Stegostoma tigrinum: one gene and its partners. The protein of the gene in region 4 purifies or fractionates together with the protein of the main gene of each other region. This does not show direct contact. Links are inferred from orthologs where the notes say so. Each region holds a gene or a part of one and is shown on either strand. Other genes may lie near its edges. The genes, in order: hdac4, neuronal-specific septin-3-like, cul2 and hif1aa.

Evidence for each region.
Region 1: the proteins of hif1aa (region 4) and hdac4 purify together in Homo sapiens (affinity purification with western blotting; 4 studies listed by BioGRID and IntAct, with this or other methods). This does not show direct contact. The link is inferred for Stegostoma tigrinum from reciprocal best matches to the Homo sapiens genes HIF1A and HDAC4.
Region 2: the proteins of hif1aa (region 4) and neuronal-specific septin-3-like purify together in Homo sapiens (affinity purification with western blotting; 4 studies listed by BioGRID and IntAct, with this or other methods). This does not show direct contact. The link is inferred for Stegostoma tigrinum from reciprocal best matches to the Homo sapiens genes HIF1A and SEPTIN9.
Region 3: the proteins of hif1aa (region 4) and cul2 purify together in Homo sapiens (affinity purification with western blotting; 7 studies listed by BioGRID and IntAct, with this or other methods). This does not show direct contact. The link is inferred for Stegostoma tigrinum from reciprocal best matches to the Homo sapiens genes HIF1A and CUL2.

Annotation. Positions count from the first base shown.
Region 1 is NC_081360.1:21,568,409-21,575,255, forward strand, and holds the start of hdac4 (histone deacetylase 4), read right to left. Parts: upstream 3,047-6,847; 5' UTR 2,918-3,046; coding exon 2,809-2,917; intron 2,765-2,808; exon of another isoform or gene 1,985-2,764; intron 1,782-1,984; exon of another isoform or gene 1,767-1,781; coding exon of another isoform or gene 1,742-1,766; intron 1,390-1,741; coding exon 1,318-1,389; intron 1-1,317. UniProt on the Homo sapiens protein: Responsible for the deacetylation of lysine residues on the N-terminal part of the core histones (H2A, H2B, H3 and H4).
Region 2 is NC_081375.1:33,918,724-33,926,468, forward strand, and holds the start of neuronal-specific septin-3-like, read right to left. Parts: upstream 3,019-7,745; 5' UTR 2,995-3,018; coding exon 2,964-2,994; intron 1-2,963.
Region 3 is NC_081355.1:130,397,801-130,405,837, forward strand, and holds the start of cul2 (cullin-2), read right to left. Parts: upstream 3,029-8,037; 5' UTR 2,827-3,028; intron 1-2,826.
Region 4 is NC_081363.1:29,394,057-29,401,877, reverse strand, and holds the start of hif1aa (hypoxia inducible factor 1 subunit alpha a), read left to right. Parts: upstream 1-4,800; coding exon 4,801-5,026; intron 5,027-7,821.

The DNA of each region.
Region 1 (6,847 bases), on a different chromosome or scaffold from region 4:
TGGCCCAAACACGGACAAAAGAACTGAACTCCAGAGGTGAGGCGAGAGTGACAGCTGTCGACATTGTGGCTGCATTCAACTAAGTATGACGTCAAGAAGTCCCAGCAAAACTGGAAATAATGGGTAATCTCACTACTGGTTGGAGTTATACCTGGCACAAAGGAAGATGGCTGAGGCTGTCGCAAGTCAGTCATCTGAGCTCTGGGCATCTCTGCAGGAGTTGCACAAGATAGTGCCCTAGGCCTAACCATCAATCATCGCTTCATCAATAACCTTCCCTCCATCATGAGGCCAGAAGTGGTGATGTTGCCAACAACTAGATTATGTTCAGCACTATTCATAATTGCTCGGCTCCAGAAGGAGTCCATGTTTTAATGCAACGAGATCTAGACAAGTGGCAAGTAACATTTACACCACATAAATGCCAGGCAATGACCAACTCACCACTGCCCCTTGACATTCAATTGTGCTACCATCCCCAACTATCAACACCCTGGGGGTTACATCAACTAGAAACGCAACTGGACTTGCTACAAAACATGGTGGCTACAAAAATAGGTCATAGTCCAGGAATACTAGTGAGTAATTCACCTCCTGCTTCACCAAAACCTATGCACCACCTACAAGGTACAAGTCAGGAGTCTGAAAGAGTACTAGCCATTTGCTTAGTTAGGTGCAGCTCCAACAACACTCAAGAAAAGCTTGACACCGTCCAGAAAAAGCCACCTGTTTGATTGACACTACATCTACTAGTATCCACTCCCTCCACCACGGATGCTCAGTAGCAGCGGTGTGTTCTGTTTACGAGATACCCTGCAAAAATTCAAAGATTCTTGGGCAGCATTTTCCAAATTCACGACTGCTCATCTACAAGGACAACGGCAGAAGATAGATGGGAACACCACTACTTCCAAGTTCTCCTTCAAGCCACTTGCCATCCTAATTAAAACCCTGGAATTCCTGACTTGGAAATACACTGCTGTTCTTTCACTCTCTTTGGGTCAAAATACTGGAATCCCCTCCCCAAGGGCATGGTGCTCAACCCACAGCAGATCGACTGCAGCGTTTCTGTAAGGCAGCTCGATACCAGCTTCTCAAAGTTAATTGGGGACGGGGAATAAATTATGGCCAACCAGCAACGTCCCATGAGTGAAAAAGGAACACTTCGGAATGAACAAAAACACAGCTAAGTAGCCAACAGTATCAATTCTTCATTGTAAAATAGTTTCCATTCTGGGGGTTGGCAACATCTAGAAGGTAGTTCGTGACTTGATTTTATTTGGTAAATGAATGTCTCAATTAAAAATTTGGTCTTACCAGTACTGGGCGTGTGATTCACTCTTGAAGGGGTCAGCAACTCAATCGACTGATCTCGACCGGAAAGTCCATCTGAAATTGAAAAGGATTCAGTCGCAATTACAGTCTGCAGTATCTGTTGCAATCCAGGCAGTTTTGTTTCTAACAGCGCGGGGTGCCGGGGTAGGGACAAAAATCACTCTCCAGAATAGTACTTTTAACTGATTGTTTCTTTTACACAAAGTTTACATAGACCGCACGCCTACCTAGGCATGGAGCCAATCTTCAAATCATAAACAATGGAGCCCTTTCGGAATAAATAATATTTCATTTCTTTAAATTGTCAGAATTTCACGATGTTTTCCAAGTTGTATCCTAATATGCATTTGTAATTGACAAAGTGACTGAAAACACAATATCAACCGTTCGCCACAGACGTACGTACTGGGGAAGCAGAGAAAGATAGGCATTTCATTTTACATGTGATTTACCAACAATGTGGCTTGCTGTTAACAGAAACCGAACCCTGGGAGTGGGAGCTAAAAATAGCCTGAACATTGCAGGAGATTAAAATGCATAAACTCAAGAGGGACGCAGTATGTCAGGCCTCAATGGCCAGTGAGAAACAACTCTGTTTATGGTCAGGAAACGTCAGATTGAAAGATGAAATCGAGAGAATAACATTTATTTCAAATCGCCTTACATACAGGAGTCGTACACTATTTAACTCCTGCATCTGTTACACGCACATATAATGGGCCATCTTACCCTATTCTGCATTCTCTGCTCGATGGGTACAGATTTATGACAACCGTTTTTACAGCAAGATTAGGCTTTCGTTTTAAAATTAAATTTTTGTGAACCTTTCTGGCATTGGACTGACTTTCAGATTCCTTTCAGCTTCACACTAATGCAAAAGAAACAATTATCAGTAGTTCAACTTGTTTTGGAATTCGCCTCTGTTCGATTGTCAGATCTCCAGTTTCACTTCGCTCTTCACACATTTAACTCTTTGGCGAAAGAGGTGCTACAGTTTACTTGCCGTTTTTAAAACAAATTTCGTCTCGTCGGAAGGCCATCAAAACTCTAGTTATACAAAAATGTAATATAACAACCGAAGTGGCATTACAATACATTAAGCGTAAATCAGATAGAAACAGAGGGAAAAAAAATTGGCTTCATTTCCATGACTTGGCCCAACGAGGGAAGTTGTTCGACTCTTTTCGGAACAGCCAGGCAATGGTAATACTTTTTTTGGTATGCAAGCCACCGTCTACTGCATATTCAAGGCCACACAAAAATATCTAACAATCAAAGTATGAGGACCGGCTTGGAGAAGCATTGCACGTACCATTTACAGTGACTCCTATACAGTACAGGCGACTTGGAAAATTTCTGCATTGTAACTCCTTGCATAAAATCCAATCAACTGCTTATCTACTGCGACACCTGAGTAAGTAACGCCGCTTCTTTTAAAATATGAAACACTGAAAAGAATGAATATCTCCTCACCCCCCGAGTTTGTTCTGACAGTTTTCACCAATGCATTGTAAAAAGACAGAAAGCACCTCCAGCAGCAGGCTATAATGACGCAATCAGCAAGGAAATGACCCGATTTCATTCAATTCTTACGAACTGAATAAGTTATTGTATATTCCGCAAGCAAAGGAGCACTATTCAATGTGGAATCGCCAAAGTCAAGCTGCGTCGCATATTATTTACATTGAAAGCGATAGAAAGCGACTTGCTGAACCCAATCAGCTTTCATGTTCCATTCCCCAGCCAAAATCGAAAAGCACAGGGAGTTCACGAAGTCCTATCCATATTATGCATTAGTGTACCTATTCCCCCTCTATTTTTTGCGATTTTGGAATTCCACAAAATCCCTCAAAAATAAAAACTAAGTAGCAAATTAAGCCTTTCTTCGGCAACAAAATATTGCTGATCGAATGAAATGGGATTTTCATTTCGCTCCTGATGTGCCCAAATTTTGTTACATAACTTCCTTATAAACATGCGTGCACTACTGGCAACCGGCAGGTCAAACCATAGTTCATAGTGGTAGTTGAACTAGATGGCCGTGAGAATGGGTACAAACCCCCAATCTCAGAGATTCCCTGTGCCGAGGAAGGTCTTTCCACTTTGCTATTGTCAAGTTGTCTGCAGTTATTAGGAGAATATAAAAGGGACCTATACTCTGTTGAATACGTATGTTGCTAAGATGTCCGCCGTCAACATGAGCACATTGCAAATTGCGCGAACTAGTTTACTCCGCATATATCATAAGCAAATTTTATGTAGGAAACCCACTGGGGGGAAAACATTATGCATAAGTTAAGACAGTGAAAGTAATTGCGAGCCAAAGTAACAACAGCCTAATATTAATTATTAGTTTCGTTATAAATTTAAACGTGAGCCAATTTATAAAATCATTACACAAGAACATATGGTATTTGTAGATGAAGTAGCCATATTTATTTCTTAAGTTGCCATGAAGGGTATTTATATTCAATATGGCAGCTCATGACAATAAAACATTAATAGCCGCAATTCTCAATTCATTAAAATACTTAATCTAAACTGATAGCAATTACTGATCGACATTGTCAATCGAGTAGCAATTCTACAAGATAACAAAGTTACATAACAATAAATACTACTTCATTATAAATTTTAAGTAAAAGAATACCCCAAAGCACTTCACAAATTCAAAAAGAAATTGAACAGCAAAGCTGGGGAAGAAGTTAGGGGAGGACAGATAGCTTGGTCAAATGACATTTTGAGGAGATGAAAGAAAATTTCACAGAAGAGAAGTCAGGGTCACTGTGGCCTTTGCGTTTAATAGCTGGACAAAGCAGGGATTTACAGACAGGAATGTCAAGACGACACCACTGACTTGGGAAAGGAGAACATTGCAGATGTGAGGTTGAACATAGCAATAATTTGATGAGTAGGAAATTTTAAATTTTAATGCATTGAAGATGTAGATCAGAGAATACATAAAATATTGTTTTTCTTTACATTTCAAAATCATTGTTCTAATAGTTTAGTAATTTATAAAGTAAAGGAAAGAGATGCATACCCTTTGGAATATGACTACCGAAACTAGGGATTATTTTAATATTGCTGTACACCAAGATTTGTTATCAACTACAGTTAACAGGAGAAAAGGTATTGTTACAATGCCAGAAATACTTCAAAATTAACTTGGTATAAATTGACTAGTAATTAGTTGCAAGTACGTCATTTTATTTACAAAAAATAATTCTCATAAATCCAATTGCAACAAACTTGAAGCCTATCCAAAAGGAAATGGTGTTATACTGGAGAAAAACAAAGAAAAACTGATGATTTGACAAGTTGTTAAACCAGCATTCTTCAAAGGTTCAACAAATTTTATTTTATGACCAGACTACAAAGAAAGATCAAACTTCCATTTAATGCACTAATAGGAGGTATTCCTTACAGAGAAATTATCAATTCTTTAAATTTATCTCTACCTGGTTCTGCTAATCTTGGCTATTTCCGAGCCTAATCTTCATTGATCTTTGTGAATGTGAAACAATACATGAGTCGACAGAAGGCATTCCAATTTCTGTGTTATTATCCTCTTCATTTTAACATAAATAGTACACAATCGGTCTTAAGACCATAAGACATAGGAGCGGAAGTAAGGCCATTTGGCCCAACGAGTCCACTCCGCCATTTAAATCATGGCTGATGGGCATTTCAATGCAACTTCCCTGCACTCTCCCAATAGCCCTTGATTCCTTGTGAGATCAAGAATTTGTTGATCCCTGCCTTGAAGGCATCCAACGTCCCGGCCGCTGCTGCACTCCGTGGCAATGAATTCCACAAGCCCACCACTCTCAGGCTGAAGAAATGTCGTCTCATTTCAGTTTTAAATTTACCCCCTCTAATTCTAAGGCTGTGCCCACGGGTCCTAGTCTCCGCACCTAATGGAAACAACTTTCCAGCGTCCACCTTTTCTAAGCCATACATTACTTTGTAAGTTTCTATTAGATCTCCCCTCAACCTTCTAAACTCTAATGAATACAATCCCAGGATCCTTAGCCGTTCATCATATGTTAAACCTACCATTCCAGGGATCATTTGTGTGAATCACCACTGGACACGCTCCAGGGCCAGTATGTCCTTTCTGAGGTGCGGGGCCCAAAATTGGACACTGTATTCTAAATGGGGCTTCATGAATATGTACTACCACTAATCCATTTAAAAATCTGTGCACTACCATCCCCTCAGCTAAAATAACCAAAAATTGTAAATTAGTATTATTGCTGTAAGTGTTCTTTCTTTCTTCTGGAGTTTAACAGATTGACTGAAAAACAATGGTAACAAGCTTACTGCAATCAACAGACAGTGTAAATAAATGTTTGCTTTGTTAGATATCTCAGTAAGCAGCAAGTAACTCACCTTCCTGACTCCCCAGTGTTTTTCTACCACCACCATTAGGTACAAGTCTGGAGTGTGATGGAACACTCTCCACTTGCCTAGATCGTACAGCTCCAAATCATTCAAGAAGCTTGATACCGTCCAGGACAAAGCAGTCTGCTTGACTAACACCAGATCCACAGAAAATGACTCCCTCCACCACCGATGCATAGTTATTAGCAGTGTTTACCATCTACAAGATGCACTGTCAAAAATTTACCCAAACTCCTTAGACAGCAGCACCTTCCGAACATGACCTAGAAGGATAAGGGCAGCAGATACAAAGGAACTCCTTGAACTGCGAGCTCCTCTCCATGCCACTCACCATCCTAAAGTGGATATATTGCCATTCGTTCAGTGGCACTGGGTCAAGATCCTCGAGTCCCCACTATTAAAAACTGAGGGCATATCTAGATAAAAGATGGATGGCAGTAGCTAATTCCCATATTCTAAGGATTGGCCAAAAACTGTTAGCCCAGCCAGCAAAGTTCACCTTCTCTGAATGAAGTTTTTTAAAAAAACTATTCAAGCTCAGGACACAGCAGATACTCTTTTAAAAAATCCAAGCAGATTCTGTTCTCCTAGAGTTGACCAAAAGTCCAAATTTCTCAAATCATCAAATTCTTGGCGGTTTTGTAATGTAGCACTTATGATGGGGACAGCACAATCCACCTCCAGAGTTAAATCAAAACATTGCTCAGTTCTCAATAAAATAATGATACAAAAGCATGCCAAAAATATTCAATTGTACAAATATACAATAGGTAATTTTATTTTCACTGGTGATCTGCATTAACATTTAAACTCTCTTCTTGCTGTTAAGGTTCATTTTGAGATTAATTTAAGATTATTTTAAAAACATTGCCATGGCTTAATTAACAAGATTTAACTTACCTTATTCGGATGAAAATTTAAAACAAACAGTCTATCTACTTAAGAGAGTTGGTGAGGAATAAAATCTGTAGTCAAACAACATGTTTGGTGTGCAAATATCTTAGACAAATGTCTGAATTTGACATGCATAATTTGGCAAATGAAACAAAACATGCTGCACATTCATGTCAAATTTATTGCAATTGAAAGGAAATCACAACTTTTA
Region 2 (7,745 bases), on a different chromosome or scaffold from region 4:
AGTTATATTTCCATATCAGGTTGGTGAATAGTTTGATGCAGATCTTGCAACTGCTGAAGTTTCCATGTACCTGTTGCCCTTGGCCTTCTAAATAATAGAAGTTGTGAATTTGTTGAATGAGGAGTCTTGATGGATTTCTGCTGCACACCTTATTTTTAAACACTGTAAAAGTAATGCAACTACTTTTTATTCCTCTTATGTATCCAAGATGTATGCCTAGGTGCTTGTACCCAGGATGGTACTGCAAGAGGCAGATGTTGTGAAAAGCTTTTCACTGTACTTCTACAATGCAGTACATGTGACAATAAAAGGATATTCTGATTCAGTGAACATTCCCACTCTGAACTCATGAAGTAGCTGAAGATATTCTGGCTGAGGATATTATCCTAACAATCTCTTGCAAAGACAGACTGAAACGGAGATGATTAATCTCCAACAAATGCAATCATCTTCCTTTGTGTGAAGCATGACTTCAGTCAACAGAGAGTCTCCCTCTCAAACTGCAGGTCGAATTCTGGTCCTTAGCCTGGTTCCAATTCATTCCAGTTTTGCTAGGGCCTCCTGATTTCACACTAAGTCACACATGACCTTGCCATCAAGGGCTGTCACTCTCATGTCATCCTACAGAGTTTGTGCTAGATATTATTCAAAAAAGTATTCATATCATAAATCCATTTCCAGCTGTGTAAGCAAAACTGCACAAGGCTCTAGCCAAAAGAATGTAAGAAGAAGCATTATGAACATAGAAGGTAGAACAAGCAAATAAACAAAATTTCATTTTACATCAGTTACTAAAAATTGTGCTGGTTCAATGTAGGTTAAGGATTAGAAGTTTATCTCCTATTTAATTACTTCTAGCTTTTGGGTGCAAGGAGTTGGGAGGGCCTGGAGGGCATGAATCATGACTTCTTTCTCTCTCTATGGTTCAAATGAGGTAGGTAGCTAATCCATTTGGCATACCTACCTTATCAATAGAATATGATCAAGCTGGTCCCAAGCTATTTCCTACATCAGCATACTGATGGTAGTGTCTGCTCTCACCATGAGGGAGAGATCGTCTTTGTTCAGATACCAACTGCTGAAATTGACCCACAAATTCTTAAAGGCATCTTGCACTTTTAAAAAGGCACCTGCATTAAATTCTAATGTAATTTAGAAGATGAAAAACTAAACTGCAGTGCAGAGGCAGATCCTAAATGTGATGGATTTGGCACTTGTGGTATTAATGGTGGAGCTTTGCAGGGGTTCTGGGGGTAGGGCGTGGGCTCAAGGCTCATTCTCCGAAGTGAATAGCAGCATGTGGTCAGGAAAGTCACTCACCACAATCTATTCCAAAGGGCCCAGGAACAGTGCCACAAAAGCTCTAATGACCTCATGTAGATGATCAACATCTCTTACACTGTCATCATTCACAAATTAATCATCCCTGGATCTCAGGGCTCACGTTATACTGAAAAACTTTATTTCACAATCAGAACTACCAATTCCATAAGGCTTATATTTACTTCTCATTGCTTTAATGCATTGCCATAGCTGAAAACCTGAATGTATCAAAGCACAATGCAACAATGACAACAATTTTGTCCTTCTGTGAGGCAGGATTGTACATGTTGGGTGACAGCAGAACAAAACTGGCAGGGACCAAGGACCCTCACATCTCTGAGGATCCATGGAATTAGAAGTTCTCAGCATCACAGGTTTAACTGTACAGCCTATGCCATGAAGGCTTGCTGAGGATGAGGACTTGGTTATCCCTTGTGCCCTTTCTCACCTCTCAGTTCACCATCAGTCTATTATCTGGCATGGTGATCAAGCTGAGTGCATATAACTGAAGGAATGTCAGGTAACAAAAGTTATTCTTCTTTTGGGCACTGAAGTTTTAAAAAGTGTGAAGTTCACTTTAGGAAAAATGACTTTCAAAATAAACCAGCTTAAAGTTAAGGTTAATTTCAGGGTACACAGGCTCAAGTTGAGGCCATATCGTCCGGTACGAGGTGCAATGATTGGCACATTCACAGGCAGATGTCTACACAGATGTACACAATGTGATTTCACCAAAGCTAACTTAAATGAAGGGTTATGGGAACAATCGTTGACTCCACACCTTTCTGTACAAACAACAATGACACCATTGGTGGATAACTCAAAGAACGAAGAAAGTTCAATACAGTAGCAGCAGGCTAGCAATTGATGGTCTCTGGTGCAACTATTACAGCAGTCAATAATATGAAGTGTGGGTTTTCTCACTGACCAAGACAGCGTGCAGTATTTTATGAAATACACGAGCTATCTTCTACAAGACATTGCATTACCTATACATTATAGCCCAATCACCTAGAGTTGGGGTCTCCAACCTTTTTAAGGTGTTAAAGGTGTTTTAAGGTATGTTAAACCTTTTTAAAGACACAAGTTCACTTTCTGAATTCATGTCCAACTCAGGATCCACTCCAAAGTAAATCTAGAACAAAGTTTATTTTTAGTGCTGTATAAATCTAAAACCAAGCACATATTATTATTGAGCTTGTCGTCGACTCACCCTGTCTCAGTGTGACATCTATGACTACACATTACCTACCTGTGCCTTGAAAGCATGTTGTAGCTTAAGCCTGCTAGTCACATACAGCGATAACAGGCATATTCAAGGCCTGTGGGATGGGTATGATATTTGGAGATCATTGCGTTCATCTGGTGGATGAATGTCTCACAAGTATGTGAAGTCAAAACCAAAAGCTTTCACTTCAAAAGGACAGATACCTGAAAATTTGGACAGAAAGTGTTGTTTTCCTTGGAGCACAGGAGATTGAGGGAGGGCAGGATTGAGATGTATAAAATTATGAGGCCAATAGACATTGTAGAGGAATCAATGATCAGGAGGCTTGGAGTAAAGTAAAGGCAAGAGCTTTAGAAGGGATGTCAGAAATATTTTTTCCACACCCCGGGGGTGTGGACAATCTGGAACTCACCGTCTAGAAGAGTCGTAGAGGCAGAAACCATCGTAACAGTTCGGTAGTATTTAAGATGTGCACATGATGCTGAGTGCTGAAAATTAGGATTTGAAAAGGTAAGTGCAGGTGGTTCTCCTATAAACGTGATAATTGTGCTCATGTGACCTTACGCTACAGAAAAGCGCAATATAGGGAAATTGACCTGCACTGGAGAATGTTTGCATTATCCAAATGGTGTCTGGTATTCAATCATGTTACAACTAATTCACATTAATGAAACATGTTATAGCAGAATTACCTCTGGCTGTTTTTGACAGGCACACATGCAATGGGCTAAAAGTTTTTTTTGTGTCAATGGCGTCTCCAACTTAATGATATTGGCAGATATTTTTCCCATGTTTACAACTTCCCCCCCCGCCCCAAAATAAAATCAATTCCATGATCTGACGTTCAGCTCAATATAAACATTGCATAGTAATTATCTGTATTATCGAGTCCACTGCTTTGCAAGTCAAATACCTTATGGGATTTGGTAATCAACCCCCTAACGTACACAGGAAAGAATAGATTCAAGACAAACAATGATTTGTTTCATCATGCTGAATTCTTGAATTGTCCTGCTAACTTCCTCAGGTGTGCACTGGACATTTTCTGAGTGGAACAGTTTTTCTTGGTCTTTGACACTTCTCTAGTATTTTTCCAGACTCCAGGAAATGATGCAGCACTTTCTTAGAAAAAAATTGAGGACCACAGACATTCACAGCACTGATCACAGGTATCAAGTCCCTGTCCTATCCTTGCAGTTCACAGTTCAGCTTGACGTTATTTTAGTGAGAAATCCAAATCAAGCAACACTCGTTGTTGGATTGTTCACTGCATATTTCACTTCTTAATTTAAGAAAAAAGTGACAATTTTAGGCATCACATCTAAAAATATTTGCCGCACCTTCCCTCAACTTAGCAACTTCACATTCACTTGGAGGATTATGCCAGTCAACAACAATATACATCCATGATGACAGACTGCACACTGCAGAATGAATTTACACCAAATCCATGATAACTGTGTAAAGCTAAATCTGGCCATGTTGCACATTCACTAAGGCATTATTTGAATGTACATAGATAGTATCCACATACATTCCTGGACACATTTAAGGGAAAAGGTTTTATTTAGAGAGAGAAGAAACTGGACAGAGTATCCTGCATGGATTCTAGACCAGAAAGGTATGTACCTTCAATACAGTTACATTACATCATTGAATATAAAAGGCATCCACCTGACCTTCAGTCACACTGCATTTTCAGTGGAGCCAGTGCAGTATGTTGGTCAGAGCAGGTTTGGGAGGGGTGGTGGGGAGAAAAGGATGCTGAGTTGCCTCCTCCTGCTCCTAGCACTTATGTCTATGAAATGTACAGTAACATTAGTAACAGGATGGAGACCATGTGTCTTAGTGTGTTATAATGAAGTGGTGTAAATTGTTTGTGTTTGTTAATAAACTTAAAAGACAACTTTTTCAACAAGAACCTGAATCACTGTGATGTGTTATGTGGATCAACATCAATGAAAAGGCAATCTACATTAGCAGTGATCTGCTTCCTTGAATCATGGCAGTCCATATGGTGAAGGTAGCCTTGCAGTACTATTAGATAGTATATTCCAGGAATTTTACCCAACAATAAAGGAGCAATAATATATATCCATGTTAACTTAGTGTGTGACTTGGATGTCATGTTATTTCCACTCATTCACAACTGTTTCCTCAGTCCTGCCATGTGACAAAACATTTTGATTTTGGAAAGTGCTAATTGAACTTTGCATTGCATCAAATGGTAAATCCTGCAGTGACAGTGCCCCATGATGGGGTAAGATCATGGGGAGCCAATCAAGTTGAGACCTTTGTTTCAAATGCTGTTGAGTGTCTAGACTTGTTTGAGATGCTCTCTTCCCAGTTAACGAAGAACACATTCCTTTCTGGCAACGCTGTTAAACTTTGAGGGGAGACCCGAGAAGAGTCAAAGGCCACAGAGTTCCCGGCCTGTGACCTGCTCCTGTAGCAATTATGTAGATATTCAGACATTGTTGGAATTAAAAAACGTTTGATACGAATGGACTTTGTTTGATGATGCTTGATTTCCAATTGAAGTAAAACATATATTCGTATGGTATTTTTATTAAGATGAAGAATTTTAGGCTCCTGTTTTATTATCGTGCACAAAAAGGGAAATGAAACAATGAGCTAAATTTCAATATTGAAATCAATGGATGGTGTGCCTATTAAACATCCATTTCAATTTTTTTTAAAAAATAAAGACAGTGAAGTAGTAGACAGGAAACATACTTTCAACGCATGATTACTAAAAAGTCTTGCTCCTTAAATTTTCTTTTGCCATGAAAGCAATTCCTCTTCCCTGGGAAGAGTGCTATGATGCCAGAAATCACCCTCAACTCACTGTAGTGTCATTCTTTTACGGGAGTGATTAGCAACAAGCTCTTCAACTATGGATGAGATCACAGCTCAGAGATTTACTTTCCAGTTTGAGATAGAGGTAGATAACAAATCAGAAATGGGAAGTGTGGTACTCTGAGCCACCCCTGTATTTTCCTAGCTGAGGAACGCTGGTGCCAAATGTGAGGTTTACTATTTTCAGTTCATAGAACAGCTGGATTACATAAAAGTTGGGTTTAAGATTAACTTGACACATATCCAAGCCGTATATGCAATGGAAAGACATACCATGGTTTTTCATACATCAATGATTAAATTCTGTAAGTGCTTGTTGAATAATAGGAAGACCCTTTCAATTGTATCCTGAATTCCTGGGATAGGTTTAAACAGATAAAGAAATATTGCATCAAGTCTAACTCACATGTAGGTAAAACTCTTTAGGGGAAACTATTTATGGGATAAAAGAGGACTTGTCTGATCAAGTTCATCTCAACAGCTTGTTGTGTTAAAAGACAGCAGATAATTCAGAGTGTGTACGATTAGGAGTCTGCAATAGTCAATGAGTTTGGAAAATGTCAAACTATAGGTATTAATAGTGTCTGGTCTCAAGAGACTTCATTTTAGCCTTGTTGAAGGCTCCACATTTTGACATGCAATATCTTAAGCACAATTATAAATTATTGAGATAATTATTTCAAATAGGTGGAAACGTGAGGTCCTTTTTGTAACAGAAATGCAACTTTGTCACAACAGCCTGTTGAATGCTGCCAGTACATATATCATACATTTTTCATCCTATACTCCGTAAAACTGGAAACCAGACAAGATGAGGAATTTTGGTGTATGGGATAAAACCTTCTGGCCTTATATTTGTAGCTGGCTGCCAAAGAAATCATAATTGCCTGATGTCTTTCTGGCAAACAATTAAGAATATCAGAGCCAATAGGTTTCTTGGAATACCTTTAAAGTTACACTGGGAAAATAAGTTTGACATGCTGCAAAATAACTTTTAATTTGATATACTCGAGTGGAACAAAAATCTTTATTTATAGATACAAATGTCCCTGTGTGATTTTAAGGTACATGGTTTGTGACAGAACCTAAAAATAGTGCAAGGTGACAAAATTTACATTAAGAAAATAGTGACCTTGAAGTTTTACTGAAAAATTTAACAAGATATCTATTAAAAATCAGGACTTTGATTCACTCAATTGCAAAAATGCAGGAAGGTTTCTTTATGGAGGGTGGGGGGAGGGGTTGCAGGGGAGATGGTAGAGAGTGCCTAAAACAGTAATGCATTGGAACAACATAAACCAAAGGAGACTCAAAAGAAAACTCTCTCTCAATTGATGATAATACCTTGGGAATATCCAATTGAATATATCTAAAAGGTGAAGCAGCATGCACAATAAATTTAGATAATTATCAAACTGACGTTACCGAGCCAAGAAATCCAGACATGCTTCAGATTTATGTTGCAAGTGTACAGAATGTGCTAAATAAAAAAAAACACAGCATCTAAAAAAGTTGTATAGGTAGTGCCCACTTGAAGTGTTTTTAAAAGAAAAATGTAGTAACTTTTACCAGAGACAGATGCGTAGTCAGTCAGCCTTATTCCAAAGAGCTGATTAAAATAAGAGAAACAGAAAGTGGGGAATGTGTTTCATGTTATGTACGCATATCCAGAAACACTGTCTGGAATGCATTAAATGTTTATATTAAGAGAAAAACCTGATGTTACTGCACAAGCAGGGTACAGCTCCGATCCTGTCTGAGCAACTAGAAAAAAAAACAAAGTTGACAGAAAAGCAGAAAATGCACTGCCTTAAGAAAGCAAAGTAGAACAAATCTGTCAAACTCTACCAATGAGAGCTTTTTGCTAATAATACCAAAATGACATCTTGCTTCCTTTATTTACTTAACAAAACAAATTTACAACCATGGAAATATACATTTTGGCTCAGATCAATGTCCTGCTATACAGCTGCTGCATAGTTGTTTAAAAAAGCTTCTTGCTCAAACTGGAATGGGCATGGTAATGTTGACAGACTTTACAATTAGTCATCAAACACCAAACGGAAAACTGATATGAATGTTTAGTCATTACCTATTTTAGTTAACATTTTACAGAGCTTTTTGTCTATTCATTGCATATTGTAGAAATAAATTACTTTTAAACTTACGTTTATGGATCCCACAATAATGAGCTCACTTTTTAATTATTTTCAAAGTTACAAACCAAGAAGAAACTTCCTGTTACTCATTTATATTTCCAGAAAAACTGACCAAAGCTCACATGATGGTTTTAAAGTAGATCATCTCCCCTATCAAAATATCCAGTACATGAAGA
Region 3 (8,037 bases), on a different chromosome or scaffold from region 4:
GGGGGATGAGGGGGAACGGGGGGGGATGAGGGGGAACGGGGGGGGATGAGGGGGAACGGGGGGATGAGGGGGGAATATGAGGGGGGGGATGAGGGGGGAATATGAGGGGGGGGATGAGGGGGACCGGGGGTGGATGAGGGGGAACGGCGGGGGGATGAGGGGGAACGGGGGGAGGGGATGAGGGGGAACGGGGGGAGGGGATGAGGGGGAACGGGGGGATGAGGGGGAACGGGGGGAGGGGATGAGGGGGAAGGGGGGAGGGGATGAGGGGGAACGGGGGGGGATGGGGAGGGAACGGGGGGGGATGGGGAGGGAACGGGGAGGGATGGGGAGGGGACGAGGGGGGATGGGGAGGGGACGAGGGGGGATGGGGAGGGGACGAGGGGGGATGGGGAGGGGATGAGGGGGAACGGGGGGGTTGAGGGGGAACGGGGGGAGGGGATGAGAGGGAACGGGGGGGATGAGGGGGAACGGGGGGGGATGAGGGGGAACGGGGGGATGAGGGGGAACGGGGGGGATGACGGGGAACGGGGGGGATGACGGGGAACGGGGGGGATGACGGGGAACGGGGGGGATGAGGGGGGGATGAGGGGGAACGGGGGGGATGAGGCGGAACGGGGGGAGGTGATGAGGGGGAACGGGGGGAGGGGATGAGGGGGAACGGGGGGGGATGAGGGGGAACTGGGGGGGAGATGAGGGGGAACGGGGGGGGATATGAGGGGGAACGGGGGGGGATATGAGGGGGAACGGGGGGGGATATGAGGGGGAACGGGGGGGGATATGAGGGGGAACTGGGGGGGAGATGAGGGGGAACGGGGGGGGAGATGAGGGGGAACGGGGGGGGATGAGGGGGAACGGGGGGGGATGAGGGGGAACGGGGGGGGGATGAGGGGGAACGGGGGGGGAAACGGGGGGGGAAACGGGGGGGGGGAAACGGGGGGGGAAACGGGGGGGGAAACGGGGGGGGGGAAACGGGGGGGGGGGAAACGGGGGGGGGGGAAACGGGGGGGGGGGAAACGGGGGGGGGAGAAACGGGGGGGGGAAACGGGGGGGGGAAACGGGGGGGGAAACGGGGGGGGGGAGAAACGGGGGGGGAAATGGGGGGGGGAACGGGGGGGGGAACAACGGGGGGGGGGAACGGGGGGGGGGAACGGGGAAAACGGGGGGGGGGAACGGGGGGGGAAAACGGGGGGGGGGAAAACGGGGGGGGGAAAACGGGGGGGGGGGGAACGGGGGGGGGGGGAACGGGGGGGGGAGAACACGGGGGGGGGGAACACGGGGGGGGGGAACACGGGGGGGGGAGAACACGGGGGGGGGAGAACACGGGGGGGGGAGAACACGGGGGGGGGGAGAACACGGGGGGGGGAGAACACGGGGGGGGGGAACACGGGGGGGGGGAACACGGGGGGGGGAACACGGGGGGGGGGAACACGGGGGGGGGGAACACGGGGGGGGGGACACGGGGGGGGGGGACACGGGGGGGGGGACACGGGGGGGGGAACACGGGGGGGGGAACACGGGGGGGGGGAACACGGGGGGGGGAACACGGGGGGGGGGAACACGGGGGGGGGGGAACACGGGGGGGGGGGAACACGGGGGGGGGGGAACACGGGGGGGGGGAACACGGGGGGGGGGGGAACACGGGGGGGGGGGAACACGGGGGGGGGGAACACGGGGGGGGGGAACACGGGGGGGGGGAACACGGGGGGGGGAACACGGGGGGGGGGAACGGGGGGGGGAACACGGGGGGGGGGAACACGGGGGGGGGGGAACACGGGGGGGGGGGAACACGGGGGGGGGAACACGGGGGGGGAACGGGGGGGGGACGGGGGGGGGACGGGGGGGGGACGGGGGGGGGACGGGGAGGGGGAACGGGGGGGGTGGATGAGGGGGAACGGGGGGGTGGATGAGGGGGAACGGGGGGGGTGGATGAGGGGGAACGGGGGGGAGATGAGGGGGAACGGGGGGGATGAGGGGGAACGGGGGGGGATGAGGGGGAACGGGGGGGGGATGAGGGGGAACGGGGGGGGGATGAGGGGGAACGGGGGGGGGATGAGGGGGAACGGGGGGGGATGAGGGGGAACGGGGGGGGGGATGAGGGGGAACGGGGGGGGGATGAGGCGGAACGGGGGGGGGATGAGGGGGAACGGGGGGGATGAGGGGGAACGGGGGGGGATGAGGGGGAACGGGGGGGGATGAGGGGGAACGGGGGGGGGATGAGGGGGAACGGGGGGGGGATGAGGGGGAACGGGGGGGGGATGAGGGGGAACGGGGGGGGGAACGTGGGGGGGGGAAGGGGGGGAACGTGGGGGGGGGGGAAGGGGGGGAACGTGGGGGGGGGGAAGGGGGGGAACGTGGGGGGGGGGGGAAGGGGGGGAACGTGGGGGGGGGGGGAAGGGGGGGAACGTGGGGGGGGGGGAAGGGGGGGGGAGGGTGTGCAGGTGAGAGTTGGGGCAGAGGAGGGCGGGTAAAGTGACATGATGTTTAATTCTCAGCTGTTTGCTCCCGACCCCTGAAGCTTCTTTCCACAGCCCAGCCCTGGCCTGGCCCGGCCCCGGGGCGCCTCCCGTGCCCTTCAACGAGACACTGGCCCTGGACACAGGCTTTGAAACCTCCTACAACAGCCGGCACCCCCGCCGCGGCCTCTCCGCTCAGGCCCAGCCCGAGAGCAACCCGAAGGCGCCGAGTCACCGTTAAACTGACACCGGGGGCCGACAGGCCGCATCCTCCCCCTCCCCGGCAGGGCCAGGACGGCCTGGGGCCCAGGCAGACAGCCGGCTACCCGTTCACAAAAACGCCGACCGTGTCCCGCACCGAGCTCCTCACCGTCCGAGCCCGGCCTCCAACTGATCGTCTTCGCTGAATCCACGGCGGCCGCTCGGCTCCGGGGCTGGGCTGTTCCCAGCGGCGTCTCTCTCAGTCTCAGTGTGAGTGTGTGCGGCAACCGCGGCTCCCGGACTGACACACACGGAGAGAGAGAGAGAGCGACCCCTGTCCGCCTGGCAATCCGGCTCACACTCACTCACAAACACTCAATCCGGATCACACTCACTCACACACACTCAATCCGGATCACACTCACTCACACACACTCAATCCGGCTCACACTCACTCACAAACACTCAATCCGGATCACACTCACTCACACACACTCAATCCGGATCACACTCACTCACAAACACTCAATCCGGCTCACACTCACTCACAAACACTCAATCCGGATCACACTCACTCACACACACTCAATCCGGCTCACACTCACTCACAAACACTCAATCCGGATCACACTCACTCACACACACTCAATCCGGCTCACACTCACTCACAAACACTCAATCCGGATCACACTCACTCACACACACTCAATCCGGATCACACACACACACACACTCAATCCGGCTCACACTCACACTCAATCCGGATCACACTCACTCACTCATTCACACACTCAATCCGGATCAGACTCACTCACTCATTCACACACTCAATCCGGATCGCACTCATTTACTCAATCTGGATCACACTCACTCAATCCGGATCACACTCACTCACTCACACACTCAACACGGATCACACTCACTCACTCAATCCGGATCACACTCACTCAATCCGGATTGCAGTCACTCACTCACTCAATCCGGATCATACTCACACTCAATCCGGTTCACACTCACTCACTCACTCACACACTCAATCCGGATCACACTCACTCAATCCGGATTGCAGTCACTCACTCACTCAATCCGGATCACACTCACTCAGTCAATCCGGATCACACTCACACTCAATCCGGTTCACACTCACTCACTCACTCACACACTCAATCCGGCTCACACTCACACACACTCAATCCGGATCACACTCACTCACTCAATCCGGATCTCACACACACTCAATCCGGATCACACTCACTCACTCATTCACACACTCAATCCGGATCTCTCTCACTCACTCACTCAATCCGGATCGCACTCACTCAGTCATTCACTCACTCAATCCGGATCGCACTCACTCAGTCATTCACACACTCAATCCAGATCACACGCACTCACTCATTCTCACACTCAATCCGGATCACACTCACTCACTCACACACTCAATCGCAATCAAACTCACACGCTCAATCCCAATCAAACTCACACACTCAATCCAGATCACACTCACTCACTCAAACACTCAATCTGGATCACACTCACTCACTCATTCACACACTCAATCCCGATCACACTCACACTCACTCAATCAATCAATCCAGATCACATTCACTCAATCACACTCAATCCAGATCACACTCACTCACTCACTCAATCCGGATTACACTCACTCACTCAAACACTCAATCCGGATCACACGCACTGACACACTCAATCCGGATCACACTCACTCACTCATTCACACACTCAGTCCCGATCACACTCACTCACACACGCAATCTGGATCACTCTCACAAACTCACACACTCAATCCGGATCACACTCACTCACTCACACACTCAATCCGGATCACGCACACTCAATCTGGATCCGGATCACATTCACTCACTCATTCACACCCTCAATCCCGATCACACTCACTCACACACTCAATCCGGATCGCACTCACTCAATTTGGATCACACTCACTCAAACACTCAATCCGGATCACACTCACTCACACACTCAATCTCAATCAAACTCACTCACTCAATCCGGATCACACTCACTCACTCACTCAATCCGGATCGCACTCACTCAGTCACTCAATCTGGATCACACTCACTCACTCACTCAAACACTCAATCCGGATCACACTCACTTACTCACTCAATCCGGATCACACTCACTCACACACTCAATCCAGATCTCACTCACTCACTCACACACTCAATCCCAATCAAACTCACTCACTCAATCCAGATCACACTCACTCACACACTCAATCCAGATCACACTCACTCACTCACTCACACACTCAATCCCAATCAAACTCACTCACTCAATCCGGATCACACTCACTCACACACTCAATCCGGATCACACTCACTCACTCACACGCTCAATCCAGATCACACTCACTCACTCACTCACACACTCAATCCCAATCAAACTCACTCACTCAATCCGGATCACACTCACTCACACACTCAATCCGGATCACACTCACTCACTCACACACTCAATCTCAATCAAACTCACTCACCAACTCACTCACTCACACACTCAATCCGGATCACACTCACTCACACACCCAATCCGGATCACACTCACTCACTCACTCACAGACTCAATCTCAATCAAACTCAATCCGGATCACGCACACTCAATCTGGATCCGGATCACATTCACTCACTCATTCACACCCTCAATCCCGATCACACTCACTCACACACTCAATCCGGATCGCACTCACTCAATTTGGATCACACTCACTCAAACACTCAATCCGGATCACACTCACTCACACACTCAATCTCAATCAAACTCACTCACTCAATCCGGATCACACTCACTCACTCACTCAATCCGGATCGCACTCACTCAGTCACTCAATCTGGATCACACTCACTCACTCACTCAAACACTCAATCCGGATCACACTCACTTACTCACTCAATCCGGATCACACTCACTCACACACTCAATCCAGATCTCACTCACTCACTCACACACTCAATCCCAATCAAACTCACTCACTCAATCCAGATCACACTCACTCACACACTCAATCCAGATCACACTCACTCACTCACTCACACACTCAATCCCAATCAAACTCACTCACTCAATCCGGATCACACTCACTCACACACTCAATCCGGATCACACTCACTCACTCACACGCACAATCCAGATCACACTCACTCACTCACTCACACACTCAATCCCAATCAAACTCACTCACTCAATCCGGATCACACTCACTCACACACTCAATCCGGATCACACTCACTCACTCACACACTCAATCTCAATCAAACTCACTCACCAACTCACTCACTCACACACTCAATCCGGATCACACTCACTCACACACCCAATCCGGATCACACTCACTCACTCACTCACAGACTCAATCTCAATCAAACTCACTCACCAACTCACTCACTCACACGCCCAATCCAGATCACGACATGCTCAATCTGGATCACACTCACTCACACACTCAATCCGGATCACACTAACTCACTCACTCAATCCGGATCACACTCACACTCAATCTGGTTCTCACTCACTCACTCACTCAATCTGGATCACACTCATTCACACACTCAATCCAGATCACACTCACTCACTCACACACACTGAATCCGGATCACACTCACTCACTCACTCACACGCTCAATCCGGATCACACTCACTCACACACCCAATCCGGATCACACTCACTCACTCACTCACTCACACACTCAATCTCAATCAAACTCACTCACTCAATCCGGATCACACTCACTCACTCACTCACACACTCAATCCGGATCACACTCACTCACACACCCAATCCGGATCACACTCACTCACTCACTCACACACTCAATCTCAATCAAACTCACTCACTCAATCCGGATCACACTCACTCACTCACTCACACACTCAATCCAGATCAGACTCACTCACACACTCAATCCCGATCACACTCACTCACTCACACGCTCAATCCAGATCACACTGACTCACTCACTCAATCTGGATCACACTCACTCACACACTCAATCCAGATCACACTCACTCACTCACTCACACACTCAATCCCAATGAAACTCACTCACTCAATCCGAATCACACTCACTCACACGCTCAATCCAGATCACACTCACTCACTCACACGTTCAATCTGGATCACACTCACTCACTCACACACACTCAATCCCAATCAAACTCACTCACTCAATCAGGATCACACTCACTCACACGCTCAATCCGGATCACACTCACTCAAACACTCAATTTGGATCACACTCACTCACACACTCAATCCAAATCAACCTCACTCACTCAATCCGGATCACACTCACTCACTCACATGCTCAATCCAGCTCACACTCACACACTCAATCCGGATCACACTCACGCACTCATTCACACACTCAATCCCGATCTCTCTCTCTCACTCACTCACTCACTCACTCACCCACCCACACACTCACTCAGTCCGGATCACACTCACTCACTCATTCACACCCTCAATCCTGATCACACTCACTCACACACTCAATCCGGATCGCACTCACTCACACACTCAATCCAGATCGCACTCACTCACTCAAATACTCAATCCGGATCACACTCACTCACTCAATCCGGATCACACTCACACTCAATCCGGATCACACTCACTCACACACTCAATCCGGATCACACTCACTCACTCACACACTCAATCCCAATCAAACTCACTCACTCAATCCGGATCACACTCACTCACACACTCAATCCGGATCACACTCACTCACACACTCAATCCCAATCAAACTCACTCACTCAATCTGGATCACACTCACTCACTCACTCAATCCGGATCGCACTCACTCAATCCGGATCACACTCACTCACTCACTCAAACACTCAATCCGGATCTCACTCACTCACTCAATCCGGATCACACTCACTCACACACTCAACCCCAATCAAACTCACTCACTCAATCCGGATCACACTCACTCACTCACTCTCACACTCAATCCAGATCTCACTCACTCAAACACTCGATCTGGATCACACTCACTCACTCAATCCGGATCACACTGACTCACACACTCAATCCCAATCAAACTCACTCACTCAATCCGGATCACACTCACTCACTCACTCACACGCCCAATCCAGATCACACTCACTCACTCACATGCTCAATCCGGATCACACTCACTCATACACTCAATCCGGATCACACTCACTCACTCAATCCGGATCACACTCACACTCAATCTGGTTCACACTCACTCACTCAATCCGGATCACACTCACTCAATCCAGATCACACTCACTCACACACTCAATCCGGATCACACTCACTCACTCACTCACACACCCAATCCGGATCACACTCACTCACTCAATC
Region 4 (7,821 bases):
TTGACAAAAGACCCAACTGCAACATGAAAGTGTTTTTGTGCAGCGGGTGGTTGGGAACTTCAGGTGCACTGCCTACGTTTGTGGTAGAAGATACATTCTTAGCTGTCTAAAGTAAATCCGATAAGCACCTGGAGCTACGAGCAGGACGATGGACATTTATACTAGAAGTATAAATTTGGAAATGAATAGATCGATTAAAGTAATGAGCAAAAGATCATGTAAGAAAAAATGTCGCTTTCTGTGTCAATTTGAACACACAAATTTTGAGAACTGGACCAACAGTTTTCACTACCCTTTAAATATATCCAGGCTTGGGCTGATGTGAGGCAGGAATGTTATTTCCCATCTGACTGTCAGATATTGGCCATCTCTCCATGATATTTAATGGCATTACCAATGCCAAATTTGCCATTCAACATCCTGCAGGTTACCACTGATCAGAAACTGAACTGGATCAGCCATATGAATCAGTAGCCACAACGACACGAAAGAGCTACTTCCTCCGTCTCACCCTTGTCCATTCACCAACTGCAGAATAAAAGTTGCAGTTTTGGAAAGTGCTGTCAAAGTAGCCTTTAGAAGATGCTGAACTGCAACTTGTAGGTAGTACACACTGCTGTCAGTGCTGGAGAGTAAATATTTCAGGTGGTCGAACTGGTGTCAAACACCTCACCTGTTTTGACCTGAGTGGTAGCAAAGTTTGAATGCTGTTAAGTCCACCAATGACATTTTTTTTTTTCACAAAAACTCCGCGGTAGATTTCAACAAAATTTGGTAGAGAGAGAGAGTTCACTGGCCAAGGAGACACATTTTTAAATTTTGTTTGTTGATTTGAGCATCCATAGCTAGGACTGTTTTTATTGCCTCTGTCTAATAGCCCTGGAACAGAGTGCCTTGCAACTTGACTCAATTTAGCTTGGAAAAAATAGCATTGATGTAGATCTGGTGTCATGTGTAAGCCAGATGACACACATCCTTCTGAAAAGAAGTTTGTGTTTACAACCATCAACATGGTCACCATTTTGTCATCCGCTTTGTAGAACACCTACACTCAGTTCACAGTAAACAACTGCACCTCCCAGTCGCGAACCATTTCAACTCCCCTTCCCATTCCTTAGTCTACATGTCCATCCTGGGCCTCCTGCAGTGCCATAATGATGCCACTCGTAGGTTGCAGGAACAGCAACTCATATTCTCATAACTCACTTATAAGAAGGATGTGGAAGCTTTGGAAAGGGTGCAGGGGAGATTTACTAGGATGTTGCCTGGTACGGAGGGAAGGTCTTACGAGGAAAGGCTGAGGGACTTGAGGCTGTTTTCGTTAGAAGAAGGTTGAGAGGTGACTTAATTGAGACATATAAAATAATCAGAGGGTTAGATAGGGTGGATAGGGAGAGCCTTTTTCCTAGGATGGTGACAGCGAGCACGAGGGGGCATAGCTTTAAATTGAGGGGTGAAAGATATGGGACAGATGTCAGAGGTAGTTTATTTACTCAGAGTAGTAAGGAAATGGAACGCTTTGCCTGCAACGGTAGTAGATTCGCCAACTTTAGGTACATTTAAGTCGTCGTTGGACAAGCATATGGACGTACATGGAATAGTGTAGGTTAGATGGGCTTGAGATCGGTATGACAGGTCGGCACAACATCGAGGGCCAAAGGGCTCGTACTGTGCTGTAATGTTCTATGTTCTATGTTCCTCTTGGAAACCCTGCAGCCCAATGGTATCAATGTGGATTTCACCAGCTTCAAAATCTCCCCTCCCCCCACTGCATCCCAAAACCAGCCCTGCCTGCCTAACCTGTTCTTCCTCTCACCTATCCCCTCCTCCCACCTCAAGCCACACCTCCACTTTCTACCTACTAACCTCATCCTGCTCCCTTGACCTGTCCGTCCTCCCCGGATTGACTTATCCCCTCCCTACCTCCCCACCCATACTCTCCTCTCCACTTATCTTCTTTTCTCTCCATCTTCGGTCTGCCTCCCCCTCTCTCCCTATTTATTTCAGAATCCTCTCCCCATCCCCCTTTTCTGATGAAGGGTCTTGGCCCGGAACGTCAGCTTTTGTGCTCCTCAGATGCTGCTTGGCCTGCTGTGTTCATCCAGCCCCACACTTTGTTATGGTCACCATTTAACACAGCTATTTTTAATTCCAGGTTTATTGAGCTCAAATTTCACCATCTGCCACAGTAAGATTTTGAACGTGAGTTCCCAGATCATTAGATTGGAATAGTAATCCAAATAATAATAAGCTCCAGTGACATTAGCACTTTGCCACCAACTCACTTAGATGAGTTTTTTGGCAAAGATGCAGGTTCAGATCACAGATATTTTTTGGGCGTTTTGTAAACTTCGGGACATTGGGCAATTTCTAAATCAATCCACATTGTTCTTTTAAAAGAAGTTGTGCAGTGTAAGCACAGCTTTCAAGGTAGGTTGTTTAATACAGATTGCCCTACCAGTTAGGGAGCCTGGGACTTGAGAGAGTGCAATCTAAAAGTTGTGTTAAGTCAGTGAAGTCAACTTCTATGCAAGGTAGTAGAAGTTTGCAACTTGTATGAAAATTCATGCTAGATTACATGGATTAAGGTTGCCAATTTTGTTAGCCAAAGATAATGAGGGGTATTGGGCAAAGGCAGGGAATGGAGATGTGCTGCAGGTCATCTGTGATCTCATTAAATTATGGAACAGGCTGAAAGAGCGCATTTGTTTAATTCTGTTCTTAAGAATCTGCAGCAAATATAGATTATTCTACAGGAGAATTTTATTTGATGTTACTTCATTGCTTTAAAAAAATGTTACTGGTACACGTTAAATAAGCTATGGATTATTTTCAAAGTAACTCAGTTTTGTGACCCGGAAACCTTTGATCGGAAAGAAAAATAGTAAAGGAAACCTAAAGATACTCTGGTGTTGCAGCATTTCAAGAGAGGAAAACAATGTTAACATTTGAGATCTGAAACTTTGTATGTAATGCTCTCCTTACACTCTCTCCTTTGTGTTGCTCCAACTTTGCCTTTGTTTCTTTTAAGATTGAATAGTGCAAATATTGTAATAATGTTACAATCTAACTGTATAATTGAAATGTTAGTCTGGTATTCAGAAAGTATCCAGCTGTTCAAGTTAGGCAGGTGGCTCAGTATGCAATATTGATGATCTGCTTTTCGAATACCACTATAATTGTTGCAGTTGTTTTTCACAATAATAACCATAAACCGAGTACATGATTGAGGTTTTTCAAAAAAGGTTTTCATTTGGGATTGATATTTTTAAAACTTTTCATTTTAGCTGCTTTTCAGTATGTTTGATCTCACAAAAGAAATATTGTTTTGGTTTTGTTACAGTGTCATCTAGTGGTGAGTGTGGGTATTAAGGATTGCAATTGTCACAGCAATATCCTTAGCCTTGTCTTACCCCCGGCTCCTCGAACCACATGGATTTTGGCATGCCTTTATTTAGGCTACTGGAAATTGAATGTAAAATCTCGGTTAAGAAGAGGCCTTTAGCACTATGTAGCGCTAAACCCTGGGGAATCTAAATTTGTTAATGTGATCACTTTTTTCAGTTGAAATAAAAATCAAAGTTTACTTACTGAATTTAAACTATTAGAATACATGACTACATCTTTTTTTAAATTCATAATTGAGTTCATTTTTTTGACGAGCAGTGCAAAGACAGGAAGATCACCGGCCTGGTCAATTGTTGATTAATTGGTTGGGCTCTCTGAACTTGGGATGGCAGAAATCAGCTCAGGCTCTGTCTCCCGCTGTCTTTCCAGTGAACTTAGGGAAGTGTGTGTATTTGTACCTTTGAAACAGGTCATAAGTATTTTGGCAAATTAATGGGTTGGGTCCATTGGCAAGGATGAAATGTATCCACATGGATATAGGTTGAGTGTCTACATTCTCTCTCTCAGCTAAAACAATAGGCTCTAGCCCAAAGGCGTACTTGGAAGAAGCTGTCTTACTGACCTGGAAGGACTGGCTGACTGCTGAGCCACAATAATTGATGGACTTTGCTGAGGGTAACTACATACCTTTTAATCACTTGATTTTGTTTCATTGACTGCCGTAGGAGATAGAAAATTTTCAAATAATGGTTTTTCTTAACAAGGAGTTGCTTATTGATCTGAGAGATGAGTGTTGTAAAATGGGAAAAATTAGGAAAACATTCAATAGTTCAATTGACAATAGATTTTCAGGCTAATCCCAATCCCTGAATCTGACAGTTTTGACTTCAATGACTGAAGTTCTGTTATAAATAACAGTATGGTACCACGAACAGCTTTCTTCTGTATTTGCCTTCTGCGAGTAAAATAAAAATGAAGTATTTAATCAAATATTTGTCTGTCTGTTTATCTTTTCTTTCATATTGTATTAGATTGTATATTCCAAAAGTTGAATAACCATTTCAGTTCAGAGTACTATTCGGAGTTAAGATTCTTAACAGTGTTTCATGGGCAATCTCTAAAGTTTAAGACTTTACTTGTTAAAGATGCTGCATCAAAACGGTCAAGTCTTAGGAGCTCATTTATGTTACTCTGTTTTGAAGATTTATCTTTGTGGAGTCGTCAAGCAATACGCAATGCAGCCAATCTGAAGTTTATTTAAACACATCACTGTATTTTTTTTTGCCCTCTGCAAAATGTTAAGGTTTGGTATTTTTCCTGTTACTTCCTAAGCAGGGTTTGAGGTTGTTTTGTGCCTTGTGTGATTATTGGCAGTATTTGCCATATGTTCCCTGTTCTGGAATTGAATTTAAGGTGCACGTGAAGCTATTTGTTGCATTCTTGTTAGCTGACATGGCTTCTTACAGTTCTACTTTGAATACCAGCAGTGGTAGTTCCGAGAGAAGAAAGGAGAAGTCTCGTGATGCTGCGAGATTCCGAAGGGGCAAAGAGTCGGAGGTCTTCTATGAACTGGCTCGTGAACTCCCTCTTCCTCACAGTGTCACTTCTCATCTCGATAAAGCGTCTATCATGAGGCTAACTATCAGCTACTTGCGCATGAGAAAATTGCTTAATGCTGGTGAGTAATTTGTAGTAATTTAAAGTAGGTAGCATTTTTATATAAGTGACTAACAATTTAAACTAATTTACTGGCTGTGAAGCACTTTGGAATGTTCTGAGGACGTTTGAAAGATGAAGTATAAATACACAGCAATTTCTTTGTGCCCAAACTCTAATAGCTTTAGAACATTTACGTAGCTTTTCCATAAGTTGCCACAGATTTATTTTGCACCCAACATGGAAGGAAAGATTTGGCATGCCGTTTGTTAATTTTTTTTTGCTTCATAGGTCTCATTTCACTGAAACTGTGCCTCTGTACTAGCTACTTATTTCCAAACACGACATCATTTTATTTTATGCTAAGTGGAGAAATGCTGCAAATGTTTACAGTATTATTGGCTGGATTGTGGGACAGTGCTGATAATGAAGCTATTAGTCGCCGTTGCCTTCATTCCACTGAACTATGGAAATCCCAAAAGTTTCTGAGATTCTTTTCTAAAGGCCGTGTTGTTGAAACACCCCTCCTCCTCCTCACTACACAATAATGGGAATTACTTGAACTAACGAACATTTCCAGTTTTGCATTGTGCATCTTACTGTCAAAAACCCACAAAAATGTTATACCCTATGGCTACTCAAACTCTCTCATTGCTCCTGAGAAATAAAAAAATTGACATTCTAGACAAAAATTTAAGTAATAGCTATTTCATTTATATTTTTTCTTCCGGCTAACAGTTAAAATGAGTACAAATAAATACAACTTTGTTTTAACTGGCAAAATTCACAAATACTGTACTGAGATCTACTGTGATATGAGTATTTATGCTGTAAATAAATTATACCAGTGATGTAAACGTCCCCATCTTCACATTTCTCTGACTTAGCATGCATTTTTACATGGATTTTAGGAGGTGTGGTGATGTTTTGGTAGGCTTTTTTGAGGGATATTGATACTGGAACCTTTGCTTGGCCAGAATTTACTGCAGTTGTGTGCATGTCATGATTATCCAGAATATTTTATCACCCGACACTTGCCTAGTCCTATGGGTGCCACCTAACTAAAAGGTTTGCTGTATAAACAGTCAGTCATCTCAATATTTGAAAATTTAAAAGCATTGGAGATTGTATTTGCATGGGAATACTCAATCCCTTTGGTTGCTTACATGCTTGCTTACATCTCTGATACTGTAGATGAAGATATCCTATTTTTAAATCGTTGTCAGGAAAAGCAACAACCATACCAAAGATTTGCTGCATATTTGGAGTGGGATGGGTAGTGCAACTTGAGGTAAAGTGGCCTGAAGTGCTGCTGACTACCTAATTGAGGCCAATGTATCTGGTATTTTTTTAATATGCATTATAGTTTCAAATGTAATTGGATGCTTTCAGAATAAAGTTGTTGCTGAATCTTGATTCTATAAACAATTTTAAAATAACATACCCTATCTAAATACTTTAAGTGCAAGTTGTTCTGATTAATTATTATCATGTCTTAAACATTCAGGGTTTTTCATGTAGGTGGATGACAAAATGGCTACCATACCCAAGTAAACTAAACCTTGGTTAATGACTGTTGTTTTCAAAAGATGTAGCAGGGCTTAGAGATGGAATTCCATGAGTCTGTGGGTGGAGAGGTGAGGTCAGGTGTTTAAGGCACAGCGACCACTGGTGGGGGTGAAGAGAATGAGGGATGCATCAAACGATAGAGACCCTAGTTTAGGCCAATTCTGACCAGTTAGGATCAATAATGTTTGAATGGTATGTTGGCCTTCATTGCAAGAGATTTTTCAGTACAGGAACAGGTGTGTTGTTGCAGTTATTCAGGTCTTGGTGAAGCCACACTCAGAATATTGTGTGCAGTTTTGGTCTCCTTTTGAGGAAGGATGCTTTTACACTCGAGGGAGTGCAGCGAAGGTTTACCAGGTTGATTCCAAGAATGGTGTGTCTGATGTATGAGGAAAGATTGACTAGGTTGGGATTGTTTTTGCTGGAATTCAGACGAACGAGGTGAGGACATGGTAGATGTTCCCAATGACGGATTTGTCCAGAACTGGGGTCACCATCTGAGGATTCAGGATAGACCATTTAGGACAGAGATGAGGAGACAGTTCTTCACTCAAAGAGCGGTGAGCCTGTGGAATTAAAATAGTTGATGCCAAAACACTGAACGTATTCAAGAAGCAACGAGAGATAGCACTTGGGGCAAATGGGATCAAGTGTTACGGGGAGAAAGCAGAATTAGGCTGTTGAGTTGGACGAACAGCCATGATTGTGAAAAATGGCAGAGCAGGCTCAAGGGGCCAAATGGTCACCTCCTGCTCCTATGTTCTGTGTTTCTCTCCCTGACTTATGATTTTGGATCGCAGTTGTACTGTTACTTACTGTGATACAGGTGTACAATATATTACTGTTTATGAATTTTTAAAATTGAGGCTGATGTGATTTTGGTTTTGGTTAAAATGTTTCTTAAATAGACGTCCGAAAGTCATTGGAAAAGACACGAAGATGTAATTTTCAAGAACGCATGTAACTAAGTGCCTAACTAGATACCTGAGAGTTAATTAAAGTGTTTACAAAGTGGAGTCTTTTTTTTCTAAAGGGCGTTTAGGTAGGGCTTGTTGTTTTGAGTTCTGTTCAGAATCTGGCTTTAGTTCAGGAAACGAATTCTGTCTTAGAAGAATTTTCACATGCGAAGGTTCCAACCTGTAAGAATTCATGTATGAGTTTTCACACAGTCAGAACTGAAAGATGTTTGGGCTAACAGGGCTGGAAAGAAGCCTCTTGGCCATCCAAACTGGAAAAAGTTAAGTTTGA